2 linked regions of the Caenorhabditis elegans genome follow. The protein of the gene in region 1 purifies or fractionates together with the protein of each later gene. This does not show direct contact. Each region holds a gene or a part of one and is shown in the gene's direction. Other genes may lie near its edges. The genes, in order: C08G9.2 and R04B3.2.

Region 1 (5,215 bases):
AAAGATTTGATGTTAACGTCTTGGACGGTCTCATGGTTCAGAGAGTTTTCAACAACAAATTTCTATTGGAAATTCTTTCATTTCATCTCCATTTTTCTTGTTTACTTTTTTGCAGGTAAACCCGCGCAAATAGTTGAAGTTGACACAATGTCAAAATGAGCGCGAATACCAATTAAGAAAGGTCAGATCGTTGGCATCGGTAGACAGACAACAATGAAAAAAATAGATTCCAGATGCGTTTGATTTGAAGATAGGAGGAAAGGAACAAAAGATGGTGGGCAACGGGAACCAAGTCACACTTATCAAATTAAAGGAATTAATGGGAATTCAAATGTATTAGCTGCAGTAGTCAATAACATCGAGATTTACAAGAAAATTATCTTTGAACAAATACGATACACAACGCTGAAACGGTGTGATACATAGCATGCAGCAATTGCCGTTCGGTAATCGACTTTTCGACGATTTCGGCAATCGCTGAAATTGTCGATTACAGGAAATCAGAATTGCCGAAAATATAAATGTGATATTTTTTGTAGATTTAGGAGCCCAAACATGAATTTTAATGAACAATGTTCTCTCTTTTCAAGCTCAAAATGATTTAATACTTGAAGGGTTGCCCGTTTTCTTTTAGAGAATGACTAACCTAATACAATAATTTTTGAGACATTTTCAAGTTGTCTCAATAGGTATTTAGGATCAATTTTGATTCTAAAAACAATCACCCAAATTTTGCTACTCCATCTTTAAGTGGAAAAATGAAGTAATATCGTTCCTGTTTTTCCATTTTAGTTTCGAAAATGATACAAGTTCAATTTCAAAAGTTGAAATATTCAGTTACTTTTTATAAATCTCATGTCTCTTTCATATCCCGCTAGTAATTCAATTCATATGAGCAGTCGACTACCATTTTGGAAGATAAACAATACAAATACGGGTTGCGAGAGACGAAGAGATCTCCAAGTGACACTTATACCGAAATGAGCGAAAGAGTTAGCGAATACATTTGTTTTGCGTACTATTAGCAGAGCTTTGAAACAGGGCGCAGCCTAAATTTGGGAGAGAAAGAAGATTTGTACGATTACGGAATAGAATATCCTACAGTAGAAAGTTAAAAAACATTACAAAATGAAATGTGCTTCATTAGGACAAAACAATATATTTTATTGTAAAACTAGTGGAAAAGAAAAAAAAAAAAGAAATGAAGAAGTAGTATTGGACTCCAAAAATATGATGTTTGATACTTTTCTGAAATGTGATAGTTTTGGAAATTAATGCGCGGATTTTTCTGAGCATTTTCTGAATCCATCGACTTTTTTAAAACTACATACCACATCTCATCTATTAATTTTAAATTTAATTTTTGCGGAAATTCCCACAGAGTATAGCCGGTCTGTCGGAAAATCAGTGCATGACAAACTAGAAGCTACAAAACTAATAAGGGAAATACGGGTTGTTTCAAACTAAATGCTTATGTTCGAATTGCAATATTTCATTCTGACTACCTTATTAATTTTCCCTTATTTTCCTGTTTTCAGAGCTCATATACATAAAGTTCACTTAAAAACCAGAACTAAAAAATCACGTACCGTTTTTGAAATTGACACACAATGTAATTTCACAGTTGGACGGAGCAGAAATCAAGGTTAGAAACATTTTCACAGTCTGTACTAGTTTTGCATTATATTTTCCTGTAATATTTTGATTTTCAAAAATCCAAAACCAAGATCCCTTTCGTACATCCCGTGATTGATTAAACAACAATGAGATTTCGAAAAGTCAGCATTTCTGCTCGAAAATCGTGTATCAAATCACCTTTGACCCTGTAGCTCATCATATCTAAACATTTTACAATCTTTTGATTCTTCATTCACATAAATCCAGTGGACCTCTTCCGTATTACATCAACTTCCTCGTAATATTTACAAATCTGTCGGAAGACAGTTTCGCACCTCACACCGCAAAAGTGGGCGGCGTGTCCGTGGCGGTGGTGGCCGGGGGTTGCAATGTGTCCACTCAACAGAAGTAACCTGTCTCTTTTCCCTCAATCCACCTGTCATCTTTTACTATCCTAAATTGACCATCACATCTTTTATTCTTATCACTTCCGGATGTCAAATGAGCAATTATGTGGTTACTGTATCTTTTAATTCTGAAACCATTTTTGTCGTCTTCTATAGACCTTTTACCGGCAAGTGTACCAAATGTATGTCCTTTCCGTCCAACCAGTTGTAATTTATTATGCCCTTTTGGATATTTGAAAGATATTCTTCAACAATGTATCTGCACATGTGCAATGGATCCTTGCCAGGTTAGGCTTTTTGAAAGATCTCTGATATTTTTTTGAATTCTTCTAACACTCTATAATATATTTAACGAGAAATAATTGTTCTTAATAATATTTTACTTTCTATATTAATGTTTTAGACGACAATTTGTGGACCATCAGAAAGTTGCATTGCAATTGGCGTGAAAGCACGCTGCATTCCAAAGTTCGGTAAGTGTACATCCAATTATGGTGCGTGACCAGTCTCTTTTGGGAAGAGAAGTGACAATTATCTGGCTACTACACGGCTAAGCTAGTATTCGGACACGTTTTTGTGAATACTCTGTTCCTTTTTTGCCAAAGATTTTTCTCGATTTTCTATAAAAGACAATTGAAAAACGAAAAAAAAACGAACAACGGTTACATCACATAATAACCTTCTATATTAGAATTTCTCAAAAAATAAAAAATCAACTCATGTCCTTAACAAGAAAAACTAAAAAATGCATTTAATTTCTTCAAAATTACAAAAAAGAAATGTACATATGTATTAAAGTTAATTTCAAGATAATTCCAAGAATCAAGATAAATTTTTTGAAAATTCAAAATTGAAAATGAATTTTTGATAACATAATTTTTGTATTTTTTGTTTTCAAGTATGAAAGCTCATTACATATTTTTTGATTCAGGATCAAATCGAGAAGAATGCCCACGATTAACTGGTGGTATATGTGCACTTCGATGTGAAAAAGACTCTGATTGTAGTGGTCGGTTGATCTGTTGCTCGAACGGATGTGGACGAGAATGTGTTGCTCCAATTGCTAAAAGTTTTCAAATCGACAGAGAAGTTCCAATTCAACCAGTTTCTTCATCATCTAATAACATCCCTGGTTCCTTTCAACGTCTCATTAAAGCTGTATCAAATATTGGATCAACTCATTTCAATATAACTCCAATTCCACCAACGATACGAAATCTTGCGAACTCTCTATTTCCAACTCCTTCACCAATTCGTCCACTTCCTACAACAAAAGTCGGTCAATGTCCTTCTCCAACATCAAATAAATCAATATGCATTGATCAAAAACAATGTGCAAATGATTTGGATTGTGGTAGTGTTGATAAATGTTGTCAAAATGCATGTGGATCAACTTGTATGGAACCTCTCAAAGCAACTGGATGTATTCATATGGTTCTAGCAATTTCGAAATTAAAAGATAAAAGACTTCCAAATGAATTTGTTCCATTTTGCGAACGAAACGGACGATTCTCATCAATTCAATGTGATATTCAGTTTTGTTGGTGTGTCGATGTACATTATGGCTCAGAGATAGCTGGTACAAGAATAAGTCGAGAACAACGAAGGATTGATATGTGTAGAGGTATTTGATGTCTTGGAACATATATTTTTGGAGAAAATCAATTACACTATTGATTTTTAGAACCCCGTTTATGTACGAAAAAGTGCCACAATCAATGTACTCATGGACACGTTATGGACATTTTCGGATGTCCTATTGCATCATGTTCTTGTGTGGATATTTGTAGAAATGTTAATTGTGAAAATACTTGGGAGCAGTGTCAGCTGGTTGAGCCCGATTGTGCAAATCCTCCATGTCTCCCTGTTCCGCGATGTTTGATTCAAAAACGTTACTTCAAAGATATATAAAGTTTGTTTCAGGTCTGTTGAACCCATGTAGGCACGGACCACCTTCTCGTCTTGGAAATGGAATTACAGCATTGTGTTCTATTGATAAAGATTGTCCCGAAGGAACTTGTTCAAAGGTACTAGATACTTTGAAAGAAGTGTGCATATTTATAGAACTTTCAGATTGGCTACAATGGACTTGGATTTTGTTGTTCGGGTCCAGCGTCATCTACACGAGACGGAAGATGTCCTTCCCAAGCCGCTGACAAATTAAAGTGTCTCATCTACCCTGATAATTCATGTCACTCGGATCACGAATGCTCTGAAGATGAGAAATGCTGTTTCAATGGCTGCACTTTATCTTGCACACAGCCTGAAGATTATGTTCTGAAAAAACCATTGAAACCAATTGAGCCAGTGATGCATTACCAACCGGGCGATGTTGAGAAGTATAACAAGGGACATTTGAGCTCTTTGGTAGCAGATTGTATTGATATCATTGCATCAAATGTTAGCTGTGCAACTGAATGTCATTCTGATTCTCAATGTGCTGGAATGAAGAGATGTTGTAGACAAGGATGTTCAACTTCGTGTATGTATCCAGTTCGGAGCACCCGTGAGTTTGATATTCGTTGGGTTTGGTATCAACTACATCATTTTCAGCTTGCTTTCATCTTGCATTGACAGCTGAATTGTATTCATTAAGAAATGCAATGAAGTGTGACAGGGCAGGAAATTTTGAACAATACCAATGTGACGATGAAGGATGTTTTTGTGTGGACATAGCAACTGGAGAAGAGCTGCCCGGATCGCGAGCCATTGGAAGAAAACCGAACTGTGAAAGTGAGTCGAGCACTACTTTCCAGATGCGTCTACAATATTAGCATAGATATTTTCTCTGACCTTTTTTAATTATTCCGCTTTCAGGTAGAAACCCATGTGAACCACTGGTTTGTAAAGTAGCATGCCCATTTGGTTTTGAAAGAGGATCAAACTCCTGTCCAACCTGTAAATGCAAAAATCCATGCAAAGAAGTAAAATGTCCACAAGGAAGTGTATGCGTTATGAGCTCAATTCAATGTTATCAGAAGGGAAACTGTGTTCCACAACCTAGATGTGTTCTGAACTTTTGTCCAGCCGGAGAGCCATATATTTCCAGTATTGGAAATGCTGAAAGTTGTACAAAAGATGAAGAATGCCCAACTTCAACTCACTGGTGTCATAAACTTGGATTGGCATCTGGAGGAATGTGTTGCCTATCTCCACCTCTTGTCCGTCATGCAGGTTCTTGTCCAATTGTT
Region 2 (4,645 bases), on another chromosome or scaffold:
TAATACTCAAGAAGAAGAACTTGATTGGACCACCTTAGCCGAATCACCTCAAGCAGCTTCATTCCTACCAACGTTGGATGTGCAGAATTTGCCAGGTACTCTTTACATTTTTATCTTTACTTTGTCTTAATACTTTCGAGTTTTCAGGTCAATCCGCAGGTTCGCTTACTTCTCCTGCTAGAAACGGATGGGAAAGCGGTCAACTCATATCTGATGCTTTACCTTGTATGACAACTGGTTTGAGGGTCACCGCAACTGCGTGGAGAAGTAAAGTTGGGCCTGGTGGTGAACAGCCAAAGTTACAGGTAACTTTGAGTTTTCCCCACAAGCACGTAAATATTTCTTGTTCAGATTTGTGTCAGGAATTCGAACGAAGAAAAGTTCCCGCTAATTAATTGCAACGAGTTTGAAATTAGAAATGGTGTTCCTATGACAGCGGATATCCCAACCCCTAATGACCCTAACCTCCCAACTCAGGTATTGAAACAGAATATATATTGAAAATTTTATTTTTCTTTTAGTTGGTATTTTCTGGCAACAATTTCATAGCCAAGGAAGGTGGCGCAATTTTCATTCAGGACATTGTGATTGAAGGATCATTGAAGTGTAACGGAGAGACTCTTGATAGTCATCCTGTACTCATTTCAAATCCCCCATCAAGAGCGAATGAAAATGATAAGAGAAGTTTTGCAGAATCGGTTGGATCATTAAAGGTACCCTTTTATTCGCCTGCAATTTTATTTATTATTTAACCTAAACATGAATAGTGTTCTAGGGAGTCGTAGGAATTCCTGGGCTAGAAGCAATTGACGCCGGACTTCCTGCTAACCTCGATGAGCAGCGAATTGCAATAGCAGCTCTGCAAAGATCACTTCAAAGCAACAGCGTAGTAGAGCAGCAGCCAAAATCTGCGGCTGATATCCAATCAGTGATCTCTCCTGTCGCACAACCTGCAGTGGTGCAAACTGCTCCGCAAACCCCAATGACGTCAGCTGAATCATTATCAACTGTCCCATCACTCTTTGAAAGTTGCTTAGCATTGTCATGTAATCCATCTGACTTGAGTTGCAAGTTCTGGAGATCATCCGGTAATAACCGTTGGGAAATTGGGACGTCCGGACGGGTGGCAAATCCGCTTACTGGAATTAATCTGCCACCTGGAACAGGTAAGTCAAACTGGTTTTTTATGAAAAATTTTGTAAGTTAATATTTGTTAAGCTCAAAAGTTCTTGGTCGCACCATTCTTCGACTCTCATATCAGCAGTTACACACTGGTATCAGAAGCCTTAAACGTTCCACTTTTGGAGGAAGTTTACTTTTGCTTTTATGAGTATTATGCAACAGAGGGTCTTTCAATTGCAATTTGCACTGACAAAATGGATTGTTTCTACAAAAAGAGTGGCTTGACTATGGGCGAAGGATTGAGGGAGAATAAAAAGTGGAACATTCGGTGTTCAAAACTTCCACCCGGCACATATGAAGTAAGTTCAAATTGCATATGAACAAAATCTCATTGAAATAATCTATAATTTTCAGCTTCGCGTGATTGCTGAAAATGCCGGTGAAAATAAAGGAGAAGTTGGTTTTCTACCAATTCGTCTGTCTCGTGATTCCAAAGGTCAGCAACTCATCTGTTAGATCGTATAACCATATAACTTATTTAATAATTGTATAAACCGTAAACATTTCAAATCATTTTCAACTGTCTTTCATTCTCTTTTTTGTCTCAATGTTATTTTATTGAACCAATAAACAAATCCACAAACAACATATGGTTTTATTGTCTGCAGATGAGACATTGGGACATTCGACAGCAGATGTCACCATTTGCAAAGAACGCTCGATCGCTCTAGATACTATCTTGCCGCCACATCTTTCATCGATTTTTCAAGTCTTAGCAAATAATAGTATATACTACTCTGAAAACTCACTCTGAAAAATGCGACGGTTTTATATTTTTCTCCTTCTAATTCCGTATATCAATGGGACCATCAATGATGACAGTTTGCCAATGGTCATCACAACATGGGGAAGTGATGGTTTTAAAAAAGCTACGAAAAATGGTTGGTATTTTTAAAATGATTTTCCCAAAATATCAATTCATAATTTTTCAGCGGTGGATGCCACTTTACTGGGAGGTCGTATGTTTGGCTTAGTCGAAGGATTGTCAACTTGTGAGGCTCTCCAGTGCGATACAACCGTTGGATATGGAGGATCACCAGATGAAAATGGTGAAACCTGTTTAGATTCGCTGGTTATCGACGCGTCAGTAAGCTCTTCTATGGTAGTTATTGAAAACATTTTTTGTAGGGATGGAATGCGAGTGGGCGCTGTTGCAAACCTTCATCGTATTCGAGATGCCGCAAGAGTTGCCTGGGGTGTCATGAACTTTACCAAACATACATTGTTGGTTGGAGAGTCTGCCACTCAGTTTGCAAAGACTTTGGGCTTTAAAGAAGAAGACTTGTCCACCGAGGAAACTAAATCTTGGATTTCAAAATGGAAAACTGAAAAATGCCAGCCTAATTTTTGGAAGGTGAATGATATGTGATTAATAATTTTTCATGTAAAAGTTGCGTAAATCGCCTATCGGCAATTTTAAAAAATGAACCAGTTTTGGATTGTTTTCCCAATTTTTCAGTAAAATTAAAAGCTAAATTATATAACAAATATTCACGACAACTGAAAAAGTGGCAAAAAGTTGTCTGAGAGATGGAAATTGCCGAAATTGTTTTGGTACGTTGTCGGATTTTTTTACTGAAAAAAGTCTGTAAACTATTTAAAAAAATAATTTTAAGACAAAGCAAGTACTTGACTATCACTACATTTTACAGTGACTCTTTCAGTAGAATTACCGGCCGGTAGTTGCCAAGCACTTTTCGTGCAAAACAGTGTTCTTCGATGATATTAATTTTGTTCTTAATCATTTTCCACATACCAAAAGTTCAACCATGCCACACGGTCAAATGTTTTAACGGATTTTTTAATGTCACAGTCACCGAGTATCTATTTCCATACCTATGCCTATACCTACATGCTTATATACCAACAAATTTTAATCTGAACAGTTTTTTGAGGTTTTAAGCTGTTTTTGAATAGTTTTGTCATAATTCCTCTAGCTTAAAGCTCTCTTAGAAAACAAAGCAAATTAGCTCCCAACACCATCAATGTTTATGTTTTCAGAACGTGTCCCCCGATCCTTCCAGCTCCTGCGGACCTTATAAAACAAATCCTTTGACAAAATCAATGCGATATTATTCACTTGTAAATCAGTCTGACGAAGCTGGATATCTGGTTGAAAAGTAGATTTTTTTTGATTAAAGCTCGTAATAAATTTCAGTTTGAAATTTAGAACAAATCATGACACAATTGGAATGGTGGTACGCGACACGGAAAACATATTCAGCGCCGGAACATCATCAAATGGAGCTAGATTCAAAGTGAAAAAAGCAAAAATAAATAAATAAAATTTCAATTTTTTTTTTGTTTTTAGATTCCCGGTCGAGTTGGTGATAGTCCGATTCCGGGTGCTGGAGCATATGCAAACAAGTTCGGTGGAGCCGCCGCAACTGGTGACGGTGATGTCATGATGAGGTTTTTACCAAGCTTCTTTGCTGTAACACAGATGGAACTGGGTACAAAGCCATCAAAAGCAGCTTATAAGGCGATAACTCGAATTCTGAAAGTTTTCCCGAAATTTTCAGGTAGCACACTTTGACAATTTTTTTTCTGAAATTTTTTCAGTGGCTTTTTTCCAGGCGCAGTCGTTGCAATGAATGTGAAAGGCAGAATCGGAGCCTCGTGTGCGAATATTAATAAATTCGGATACAATGTGGCTTTTCAAAACGGAACGGTGGTGACCTACTCCATAAGTTGTCTCAAAGAAGTTAATTCCTTGAAGTATCTCAAAGAAGGAATCGAATTTGCATGATAATATAATAATATAAAGAAATTCGTGGAATAAAACTATTTCGAGGACTGTGGATTAGCTTCTTATTGTTTTCAAGTTGAAAAGAAGGGGAGGGGTGGAGTTGAAATGCGGACGTTATGCATAATAAGGAAGAAGTTCAGGCTGAAGTGAAAGTAGGTGCCACAGTAGCGCAGATGGTATAATTAGCTGTCTTCGAGACTGTCGACGGTTGTCGTTGAAACAGAAGTGCAATAAATCCACTTGTTGGAAAGAAAAGTGAATCGCAGCAGTGAGTGAGTGACGGTCAATTTTCATTTCGGTGTCATTTACAAACCGGACAGCAGAAGCTGAAGGTCTCATTTCGTTTTTCTTTATTTTCCGACTTTCCATTTTTTTTTCGTATTTATTTCTAAACAAACACTCAGTATAATGAAGTGTTCCTATCGATAAACTAAATGGTATACGCGATATTTTTACTGTTATATTCAATGTATATAAGCATTGATAAAGGTAGGATTTTGTATTTTGAAAACATCGAACTGTATTGAGAGCGTGTAAAATTTGTTTCGAAATTATTTGTTTTTTGACAAAAAATTAAAGCCTGTAGACCCAAAATGTACTAAAATAAGCCAATTTTGTAATAAAACTTCTCAAAGATTTTTTTTTGAAAAACTGTATGGTGGTTCGAAGTTTTGAAAAAAGTGGTATAATTTTGTTCAAATTGTTCAAATTTTG

What was found.
Region 2: the proteins of C08G9.2 (region 1) and R04B3.2 fractionate together in Caenorhabditis elegans (co-fractionation; one large-scale study listed by BioGRID). This does not show direct contact.

Annotation. Positions count from the first base shown.
Region 1 is NC_003282.8:7,669,793-7,675,007, reverse strand, and holds the start of C08G9.2 (uncharacterized protein), read left to right. Parts: upstream 1-2,035; 5' UTR 2,036-2,128; coding exon 2,129-2,311; intron 2,312-2,427; coding exon 2,428-2,497; intron 2,498-2,498; exon of another isoform or gene 2,499-2,615; intron 2,616-2,955; coding exon 2,956-3,648; intron 3,649-3,708; coding exon 3,709-3,900; intron 3,901-3,947; coding exon 3,948-4,051; intron 4,052-4,097; coding exon 4,098-4,530; intron 4,531-4,577; coding exon 4,578-4,757; intron 4,758-4,841; coding exon 4,842-5,215.
Region 2 is NC_003284.9:2,470,879-2,475,523, reverse strand, and holds R04B3.2 (Glycosylasparaginase beta chain), read left to right. Parts: upstream 1-1,805; 5' UTR 1,806-1,939; coding exon 1,940-2,063; intron 2,064-2,114; coding exon 2,115-2,265; intron 2,266-2,310; coding exon 2,311-2,536; intron 2,537-3,183; coding exon 3,184-3,302; intron 3,303-3,352; coding exon 3,353-3,440; intron 3,441-3,493; coding exon 3,494-3,704; intron 3,705-3,758; coding exon 3,759-3,931; 3' UTR 3,932-3,984; downstream 3,985-4,645. Other genes in the region: R04B3.3 (MAM domain-containing protein), read left to right, coding at 1-95, 148-305, 352-477, 522-713, 776-1,166, 1,219-1,481, 1,537-1,638; R04B3.1 (MAM domain-containing protein), read left to right, coding at 4,366-4,420.